3 linked regions of the Cricetulus griseus genome follow. The protein of the gene in region 1 interacts with the protein of each later gene in a biochemical or structural test. Links are inferred from orthologs where the notes say so. Each region holds a gene or a part of one and is shown in the gene's direction. Other genes may lie near its edges.

The links. The genes of interacting proteins can lie anywhere in the genome.
Region 2: of the proteins of Cdh1 (region 1) and Ccnb1, one has a biochemical effect on the other in vitro, tested with the Homo sapiens proteins (3 studies listed by BioGRID). The link is inferred for Cricetulus griseus from reciprocal best matches to the Homo sapiens genes CDH1 and CCNB1.
Region 3: the proteins of Cdh1 (region 1) and Ctnnd1 form a complex in vitro, tested with the Homo sapiens proteins (5 studies listed by BioGRID and IntAct, with this or other methods). The link is inferred for Cricetulus griseus from reciprocal best matches to the Homo sapiens genes CDH1 and CTNND1.

Annotation. Positions count from the first base shown.
Region 1 is NC_048596.1:182,982,072-182,985,827, forward strand, and holds the end of Cdh1 (cadherin-1), read left to right. Parts: intron 1-658; coding exon 659-802; intron 803-2,760; coding exon 2,761-2,970; 3' UTR 2,971-3,172; downstream 3,173-3,756.
Region 2 is NC_048595.1:319,289,400-319,292,040, reverse strand, and holds part of Ccnb1 (G2/mitotic-specific cyclin-B1), read left to right. Parts: intron 1-101; coding exon 102-284; intron 285-1,743; coding exon 1,744-1,902; intron 1,903-2,092; coding exon 2,093-2,329; intron 2,330-2,569; coding exon 2,570-2,641. UniProt on the Homo sapiens protein: Essential for the control of the cell cycle at the G2/M (mitosis) transition.
Region 3 is NC_048599.1:90,922,744-90,926,399, forward strand, and holds part of Ctnnd1 (catenin delta-1), read left to right. Parts: intron 1-1,004; coding exon 1,005-1,122; intron 1,123-1,897; coding exon 1,898-2,051; intron 2,052-2,407; coding exon 2,408-2,425; intron 2,426-2,866; coding exon 2,867-2,935; intron 2,936-3,656. UniProt on the Homo sapiens protein: Key regulator of cell-cell adhesion that associates with and regulates the cell adhesion properties of both C-, E- and N-cadherins, being critical for their surface stability.

The DNA of each region.
Region 1 (3,756 bases):
TTTCAGAGAGTCATCCCCATAATACTGCTATGGAGCACAGAACCCTATAATCTCAGTGGTACACAAGAAGTCAGGTGTCTTCCCTCAGACACTCTTGTGTTCTCTGAAGTGTATGTTGCTTACATTGAAGCTTACAAAATCTGTAAATCAGTGAAAATTCAACTAATCCAAGCAGAGTTTTGCTGAAAGACCCTAAGCCACCCTTGTGTCCAGTCTGCTGCACAGGAGCCTAATCTGGGTTCCAGTAGGCATGCATCACTTGCTATCTTGTTACCTGAAGCCCCTCACCTGACAGAGTCTATTGTTAACAGGCCAGATACTACTTGCATCAGCTATGGTGGGGGAGGACTGAGTAAAATTTGCCAAGTAATAACCCCATAGTCATGTCCTGTAAAATGAGTAAGACATAACAGTTTGCACTCATAGAATCCCCTAGTGCTCTCTCTCTTTTTTTTTTTTTTTTTCAGTGTCAGTTAGGAGACGCTTAATTTGGAAACTGCCATTTCATATGCTTTTGGGCACACATTGGCCAATACCACACAGTAGGTAGTTTTAGCTTTGTCCAATGGCACAGTCTGTGATTCCATGAAGCAGACAAGCCCCGCCTATGCACCTACTGCTTTTTCACTTGTCAGCATGTTTCTGCTCTTCTCTCTAGGATTATGATTTGAGCCAGTTGCACAGGGGCCTGGATGCTCGACCTGAAGTGACTCGAAATGATGTTGCTCCCACTCTCCTGAGTGTGCCCCAGTATCGTCCCCGCCCAGCTAATCCTGATGAAATTGGGAACTTCATCGATGAAGTAAGTAGGCATCTCTTAACTTGGGAACTAAGGAGAAAAACATTCCAATGAGGAGAACCTTCGAATTCTTGCCTTATGGTGTCTATTTGTCCAGATCCTTGAGACAAAACCAAGATCTACTTGCAAAGCTTGAGTAGACTTAGTTTGATTTCATGAATGAGTCCCCTACATTCATTACAGCTGCTTGGGATAACATCTTGGGGAGCCTGGGGCAATAGCATCTTTTGAGCAAGACTGAGGACCAGAGTTTGGATCTGAAGCACCAACATAAATGCTGCGTGGGCATGGCAGCCTCCTTTTATTCTAGTGTCCAGGTTAGATCATCCAGAATCAGCAAGCTGTAGGTTCAGTTGTCTCAGGGAATACAGTGAAGATGATGTTGATGTCCCTACAAAGATCTTGCTTGGGCCTTCACGTGCACATGTGCACACACATGTAAACACAATCACAGGACGTGCACAAATGTATCCCAGTTTACCTAAGGCCCATAAAAATAGCATCCATCATGTAACATATCCATATGTTATTGTACATGTAGGAAGTATGTTCAGCTCTAACCAAAAAGCTTAAGCAGACAGTAGGAGATGCACTTTGTGCCTATGGAAGGCTGGGCTCAGCAGTCTTCTCTGTTGGATATAGAGCCTTTCTGCTCCATTATCTTGGCATCTTAGTTACTTTTCTATTGCTGTGCTGAGACACCATGACCAAGGCAACTTACAGAAGAAAGAGTCTAATGTAGAGCTCCAGAGGGTTAGAGTCCATGACTATCATGGCAGGGGACATGGCAGCAGGCATGCTTGGCTGGAGCAGTAGCTGAGGGCTCATATTTTGATCCACAAGCTGGAGGCAGAAAGAGAGACAGAGACAAAGTGAGCTAATTGGAAATGCCTGGACTTTTAAAACCCCAAATCCTGTTCTTGGTGACACACTTCCTCCAACAAGGCCATACCTCCTACTCCTTCCAAACAGTTCTACCTGAGGACCAAGTATTCAAAGATGATATAACCCTAGCTGGCTTTGGACTCCCTATGTATACCAGGCTGGCTTTGAACTATGTAGCAGAGTGTCTTGGTTAGGGTTTCTATTGCTATAAAGAGATTAGAGATTTTTTTGGAGACAAGGTTTCTCTGTGTAACCCGGGTTGTCCCGAAACTTTCTTTGTAGATCAGGCTGGCTCTGACCTCACAGAGATCCTCCTCTGCTTCTTGAGTGCTGGGGATTAAAGGCGTGCTCCACCATGCCCAGCGCAAGGCAACTCTTAAAAGGGAAAACATTTAATTGGGGCTAGTTTTGAGTTCAGAGATTTAGGTAATCATGGCAGGTGTCACACAGGCAGACATGGTCCTGGAGAAGGAGCTGAGAGTTCTACATCTTGATCCTAAGGTAGCAGAAATAGTCTGTGTCCCACGTTGGGCATAGCTTGAGCATAGGAGACCTTAAAGCCTGTCCTACACAGTGACACACTTCCTCCAACAAGGTCACACCTACTCCAACAAAGCCACACCTGCTAATAGTGCCACTCCCTATGGGCCTATGGGGGCAATTTTCATTCAAACCACCACACAGAGGATGACTTTAAATTCCTGATCCTTCAATTTGCCTTTCAGGGTTAACATTTAGCAATGATAGTTTGGCGTCCATCCTTGAGGACCTTCTGGGCTGAACTGTTATCTCTATGGGCTAGTCTGATCACTCATTGTTTTTAGCCTCTGTCTATACTCATTGGTGATAGGAGGTCCTTACTCTCATTTCTGGGGACCCCCATCCTGACATGCAGCTAGCTGTCCATCTCTCCCTGCTGACGTCGTATAGCTTAACAACCCTGTTTAGGGAAAGCATCCTGTGGCTTGTTCTTCTGTGTTGAAGTGTATGCCTAACTGCTCACTGGTTGCCTTTTCATGTTTTGGGTGTTGCTTACCTCAGACACACAATAATAAATATGGTGCTCTTCCCTTTAGAATCTGAAGGCAGCCGACAGCGACCCCACAGCACCTCCTTACGACTCTCTGTTGGTGTTTGACTATGAGGGGAGCGGTTCCGAAGCTGCTAGCCTGAGCTCACTTAACTCCTCTGAGTCGGATCAGGACCAGGACTACGACTATCTGAACGAGTGGGGCAACCGCTTTAAGAAGCTGGCTGATATGTATGGTGGCGGCGAGGATGACTAGGGGACTAGAGAGGAGTCCCTGGGAGATGCAGAATAATGTTGCCTTTCAGATTCTTCCTTGAGTTTCTAAGAGAGAGACTTACCCAAGATGCAGTTTGCATCCCATTCTACCAGTCTACTGTGTGTTAGGTTGTCACCTATTCTCAAAATCGGTTTTTTATTTTTACAGTGCTAGGATTTAAACTCTTCCACTGAGTTATATAGGCTTAACCTCTCCTTCTTTATTTTTAATTTTTTAAAATTTTAATTCCCCCCCCCCCCCCCCGTGGATGAGGCTGAATCTGGGACTTTACAGTGTGAGATAAGCACTCTTGTTACTGAGCTGTAGCCCCAGTTCAAATCTTTTATTTCAAAATGGCAGTTTCAGTCTCAGAAGGCTCAGCTAGCACTGGAAGTTTTCCTTTATGTTCAAGAGGCAGGGGAGGGTGTCTGCCCTACTTCTGTGTCACTGTGTATAGGAAATGGTTTGTTTTTGTTTTTGAGCTAGGGATCTAGTCAAGTGTCGTGTCCCCAAGCCCTTCACCCCACACTAAGACTTTTAAATTGTGTACTTTCCCACAATTTCTACATTTGTGTTCTGTATTCTAATACGCACTTATGCTCCTGAATTCTGTTGCCCTGCCCAGGTGCTTTTCTATGATGCAGAAATGACTGGGTCCTTTTCTGGTAACAGACAGGTGTCTTGGTGTGGGTGCAACTGAACTGGATATTGTGTGTTTCAAAGACCTTTCACGGGTTTCCTTCCTTACCTCTGGAGCACTCACTTGAAATGGGCATTCCTTATCTG
Region 2 (2,641 bases), on another chromosome or scaffold:
TATTCAGAATGATTTCTTAAATTGAGGATACCAATACTGACCTTCCTTCCTGGACTGTAGCATGTGCTTCTCTTTGTTTGATGGGGTCTCTCTTTTTTAAGGTTGATAATCCCTCTCCAAGCCCAATGGAAACATCTGGATGTGCCCCTGCAGAAGAATACCTGTGTCAGGCTTTCTCTGATGTAATTCTTGCCGTGAGCGATGTGGATGCAGATGATGGCGCTGATCCAAACCTCTGTAGTGAATATGTGAAAGACATATATGCTTATCTCAGACAGCTGGAGGTCAGTATTGTTGTTACAATACGATTTTACTGAATTCAGCTAGGTTTATTAAGGAACTGTTTTTCTTTTGGTTTTTATGAGTCCAGGCTTCCCTGTGTACCCCTGACTGTCCTGGAACTGACTGTAGACCAGGCTGGTCTCAAAAAGTTGTGCACCACTAACTCAGCAATTAAAGATTTTTATCAACAGCACATTTGACATTTCTTGACAATAGATAACACTTGAAATTCTGTTTTGAAATGGAAATAAAGTCACTAACTCCGTGGGGTGGATTTGTCACGTTGAATACAGAATTTCTGTGTTGGGGAGATACTATTATGACTCTTCCTAAAGTAGACACACACATCACACATGGGGAAAGTCCCAAACTTGTGGTTGGAGGAGGAGGTAGATAAAGATGCTAAAGAACTTATAGCTGTCCCAACACAAGGGTTTTTTCTGATTTTTTTTTTTTTTTTGGTCAGTGTGCTTGTGCTTGGCAGGAAAACTATTACTTGTGCCCAAAAGGAGCACACTCAAAAAATTGAAGTGGTTGGTTTTGTCAACTTAGCCCAGTTGGATATTAAGGACATTAACGCTTTCACCTCTTTAAACAAGACAGTTCTTTAATGTAGTTTTATCAGATTTGCCACCTCCAATCCTAGGAACAAAATACAGCACTTTGTGCATGCTAAGAGGTGCTTTACCACTGAACTATATCTCCAGCGCGCTGTCTGCTTCAGTTACCACTCATTTACTCAGTCTCTTATCCTTTGTGACAGGGTGCATATGGGGGGCTCAGAGGACAACTTTCAAGAATTGGTTTTCCTTCCACCTTTAAATGGGTGGGATTGACTTAAGAGTCAACCATTTTGCTGCCATTCCTTTTGACGTAATTTATATTTCCTAAAGTAGTCCTCAATAGGATTATCTGTCCAAGCTTGCTGTCTACTTTGTAATTCTTGTCAATACTAAAAGGTTTTTTTTGTTGTATCCTAACTGCAGAACTGAATTTGGTAGTTAAACATAGTTGTTCTTAATTCCTTATTCTCTCTTTTTTATATTTGTACATATACATAGTGTTCTGCCTGCATGTATGCCCGCAGGCCAGAAGAGGGCACTAGATCTCATTATAGATGGTTGAGCTAGCATGCTGGGAATTGAACTCAGGACCTCTGGAAGATCAGCTAAATTCTAGCTGATATATAACTTAGTGATTAATTTTTTCTATATCACAAAGTGAAATTAGTAAAATCGATATTGATCTGAGATTATGACAGGTGTAAGTGTGGGCCTGCTTTCCACTGGTTAATTGAATGTCACAATATCTTAATATGAAAAGCCTGTCATGCTATTTTAATCCTTGCTTTCTTAATAAAGCTTTGCCATGGAGCTGTTTTATATTAGTTAATTGGTCTTTGTGGTCACAAATGGCGTATAGAGTGATGCTTCCAGGATAAATGACATTTTTCTTTTGCAGGAAGAACAATCAGTTAGACCAAGATATCTACTGGGCCGTGAAGTCACTGGAAACATGAGAGCCATCCTAATTGACTGGCTGATACAGGTTCAAATGAAATTTAGGCTGCTGCAAGAGACTATGTACATGACTGTTTCCATTATTGACCGGTTCATGCAGGTATGTGTAATTAAGTAATGAGAGTTCTTCATTCCCGGGTTCTAGAAGACTCTTGGAGGAGGGGGGAGTGGACACTGACAGTCAAACCCAGGGTCCCATTACATGGTAGGCAGGTATCTGTCTTTACAGGGAGATAAGGTGCCACCAGTTGAGATGTTCAAGTACATGTTCATTGACATTTCAATTGCAGGATAACTGTGTACCCAAGAAGATGCTGCAGCTAGTTGGTGTGACTGCCATGTTTATTGCAAGCAAATATGAAGAAATGTACCCTCCAGAAATAGGTGACTTCGCTTTTGTGACTAATAATACTTACACTAAGCACCAAATCAGACAGATGGAAATGAAGATTCTAAGAGTTCTAAACTTCAGTTTGGGTCGCCCTCTGCCTCTGCACTTCCTCCGTAGAGCCTCTAAGATTGGAGAGGTACACATTACTTGAAATTTTTATTTTGCTATATTAGAGAATACGGTAGATATATAAGTACATGGGAGAAGGATATGGCTGTTATTATTTCTAATCAGGTTGGATATTATATGGTTACTCTTAAAGCCTTCTGTGGACCATTGTATTTGAGAGTTTGTAGTCACAGATCGGGCTTTGTAAGTTAGCGCAAAAGCAAAACTGCAAAAGACGCTCAGTGGTATGTATGTGGATCTGTTTCAGGTTGACGTTGAACAGCATACTTTGGCCAAATACCTCATGGAGCTCACTATGTTGGACTATGACATGGTGCAC
Region 3 (3,656 bases), on another chromosome or scaffold:
TATTCTAAGGTGTGTTTGACATCATCCCACCTGCTTTTGCTGCTTTCTTGTGTGCACCATGTTTACCTGCTCATTCGTGTGTTTATTCCCTTCCTTCCTCCTCCCATTCTCGTCACTTTTATTCCTCTTTGACTTTATTCTTCTAGTTAAGTAAATACCTGCTTAGAACCTCCCACATACAAGGTTCTTATCTGGTTCTGGACTTGTGTGTGTGTGTTAGTTGCTGTCTCAGTTATCCATATTTCAAATCAGGCACCTTATCATTCCCTATATTTGTACTTCTGTAAAATAAATGATGCTTCCGTCTGAATTCATTGATGTTGGTATGCCCTCTCACAAACCACCATTTTGTGGTGCTGGGTATTTGGACCTATTGCCTTGTATATGCTTGGGTGAGCTCTCTACCACTTAGCTATATCTCTACTGCTGATGTTCATTCGCACAGGAATGCACATGGGCTCACGCCTGCAGTGCACATATGCTTGGGTGTGGTGGTGGAGGTAGTGGATAGGGTTTTGCTTTCTAATAAGTCCACTCTGGCCTCAAACTCTTGATCTTCCTGCTGCTGCCTCCCAAGTGCTAGCATTGCAAGTGTGGACTACCATTTTGAGCTGTGGTATACATTTTAAAACATACTTATTATGTGTATGGGTGTCTCGTCTGCATATTTTTCTGTGTACCACATGTGTATCTGGTGCCTGAGGAGGCCTGAAGAGGGTGTCAGGTCTTCTGGGGCTTGAACTACCATGTTGTGCTGGTTATTGGGATTGTCTCCCCATTCCAGCCCCTGGTATACATTTTCAGCCTGATTCCACAAGCTAATGAAAAGTTTAGAAGACAATCAGTCAGTTTCCAACTGTAATGCCTTGCTTTTAATAGGTATGAACTGTTTATTTGTAATGAATAGAAAAGGTTTTAAGGAAGCTTTAGATGTAGATGAAGAAAGATATCAAAGAGGGCATCAGGGACTTGAGTCATCTTCAGAACTTTGTGTTTTCCCTTAGAAATGTAAGCTCAGAGAGGAGTGAAGCTCGCCGGAAACTTCGGGAATGTGATGGCTTAGTTGATGCCCTCATTTTCATTGTTCAGGCAGAAATTGGACAGAAGGATTCAGACAGCAAGGTAAGTTAATGACTGAGTGAATTTTGTTAACAAGGTAACCGTGGTTCAGATCTTCCACTTCAGGCTATCAGATAATATAAAATACCAACCCCTTCTCCTTAAAATGGGCATTGAGTTTAGAAGAAGCAAAGTGTCTGTATTTTGTGTGTGTGTGTGTGTGTGTGTGTGTGTGTGTGTGTGTGTGTGTGTGTGTGTGTATGTGTACTTCAGTGCAAGTGCACAAGAGCACAGGCCAGGAAAACATTGGTGTCCTTTGTCACTCAGGTACTCTTCACCCTATTCGTTTTAGGCAAGGTCTCACCTTGAGGTTGTATTCTTTGGCTAGACTAGCAATAAATATACTTCAGCAATCCCGTCTCTGTTCCTATAGCACTGGGTTTACAGGTACATTGGTACATTCAAGATCATGCCTGGCTTGTTGTGCAGCAGGTGCTGTGAATGACTTTACCCCTTCTCCTTCTCCCATATATATTAAAGCTGCTCAGTAGCTTCCTAGGTTATACGTTTTCTAAGTAGGGAAAACAATGACCTAAATGTCACATCATTAAATAGTTTCAGAAGCCATTATATGTCTGTAGTTAGTTCTTCTGTTAGCATGAAGATAACAAGGATTTTGAGGAGCCTAGGGCACTGAGAAAGCAACCTGAGAGAAGATGGATTGAATTATGCATTTTAGGGTTGATACTTTAATATTCAAATTATGGAGACAGGATTTCCTGGAAATCACCACAAACATTGTCTTTTCCAATTGGGCCTTTTGTTTTGTGTCCCTAAGCTTGTGGAGAACTGTGTTTGCCTCCTTCGGAACTTATCATATCAAGTTCATCGAGAAATCCCACAGGCTGAACGCTACCAAGAGGCACTTCCCAGTGTGGCTAATAGTACTGGGCCACATGCTGCCAGTTGCTTTGGGGCCAAGAAGGGCAAAGGTAAGTCTTAGTTCCTGTTCTTTAATGTGGGGGACAGGGAGGGACCACTTAGCTTTTTAGGACTTACAAATAGTCGGGAAGTCTACCTGGTGGAGACTTGTCCTTTTTTGCTCTGCTGCTGCTCCCCTTGTTCTGGATGCTTTGACGGTGGTGATGGTGATGGTGGTGATGGTTGTTAGTGTATTGGCAAATGGGGTATTGAAAGACAAGAACTCAACTAATCTGGGGCCTTCCTCCCTATTCCTCCTGTTCCTCTGCTTTCTTGTGTACTTGCCCATGATCCTGTTGACATCTTTCTCCTGCGTTTTCTTCCTTCATTTCTCTCCTCGCTTTCCACCTTGGTGATGCACTGGAAGATGAGTGGTTCTCCAGAGGTGAGTGCAATCTTTTAAGGCGCTTATCTCCTTCTAATTTGCATGTTTTGGTTTTTACCTTCCCTAATATTTCCTTGTCTAACCCTTCCCTGTGGATGCATGTAGGAAAATTTTAGTTGAGGAAAAGCATTGAAATAAGTTTTAGCTCTTCTGGGTTATGGTTTTGACCTGCTGTTTCTGGATAGCAGTCTCCATTATAAGAACTCTTTCTTAGTAGCAAGAGTGGTTATCCTTTTTGTAACAATCTATTGCCTGATTTTGGTCCTTGTTCTGCACCACCCTATTTGGACAGGTATGTGTGGGGTTTCCTTCTTTTGCCTCTTTTGATGCTGCATCTCTGATCTGAAAATTCTGACTGAAGGATGAAAAACTGAGGTGAAATCTTTCCTTCTTTTAAAAATTCTTTACTGAATTCTCTCTACCCTTCTCCCATTTTTATAGGGAAAAAGCCCACAGAGGATCCAGCAAATGATACAGTGGATTTCCCTAAAAGAACTAGTCCTGCTCGAGGTAAATTTTCCTTTTTCTCAGTCTCCAGAGAGCTCAGATACAGTTTTTGCACATGGTAACATTATTGCACATGGTAAAAGGCGAAAAGATTTATATGATGTGAAGAGAAAGCAGAGTCACTATTTCACATGGTAGCACTATATTAACAATTCTCTCTGACTTGTTGGATTTGAAGTGATGTTGAAAAATATTGGGAAACTTCACAGTATTTAGTCTCAAGTCAGAAGCTAGACTGGATGTAATAGTACCTGCCTGCAAACGTAGTACTTGGGCAGCTGAGGCAGGAGGATTGCTGTGAGTTCAAAGCCAGGTTGGGGTAGAGAGTGAGAGAATGCCTCAAAAAAGGAAAAGAAAAGCCAGAGACTTAGCTAAGTGGCTACTATTTTTTGATCTTGAACCTTACTGTCAGAAGAAATCTATCGCAGCTTGGATTTTTGGGCTCATTGTATTAATAAATATAAACTTGCTAGCTTTCCATAAATATAAAAGATGTTAGTTAAGTGATGTTAAATCTCAGGCTGTCCTTTCATTTAGTTATATTCCTGGTGGGGAGAATTACTGAGTTAAATCAGAAATAATTTGTTTGAGAGATTGAATCACTAAGCCTGATTACTCACGGTGAAAACAAGGCTTCATTTAGCTATGGAGTACAAGTCAAGGAGGAAGGAGACAGGAATTGAATATGATAGAATTGATGTCTATTCTATTTTTGCCATGGACT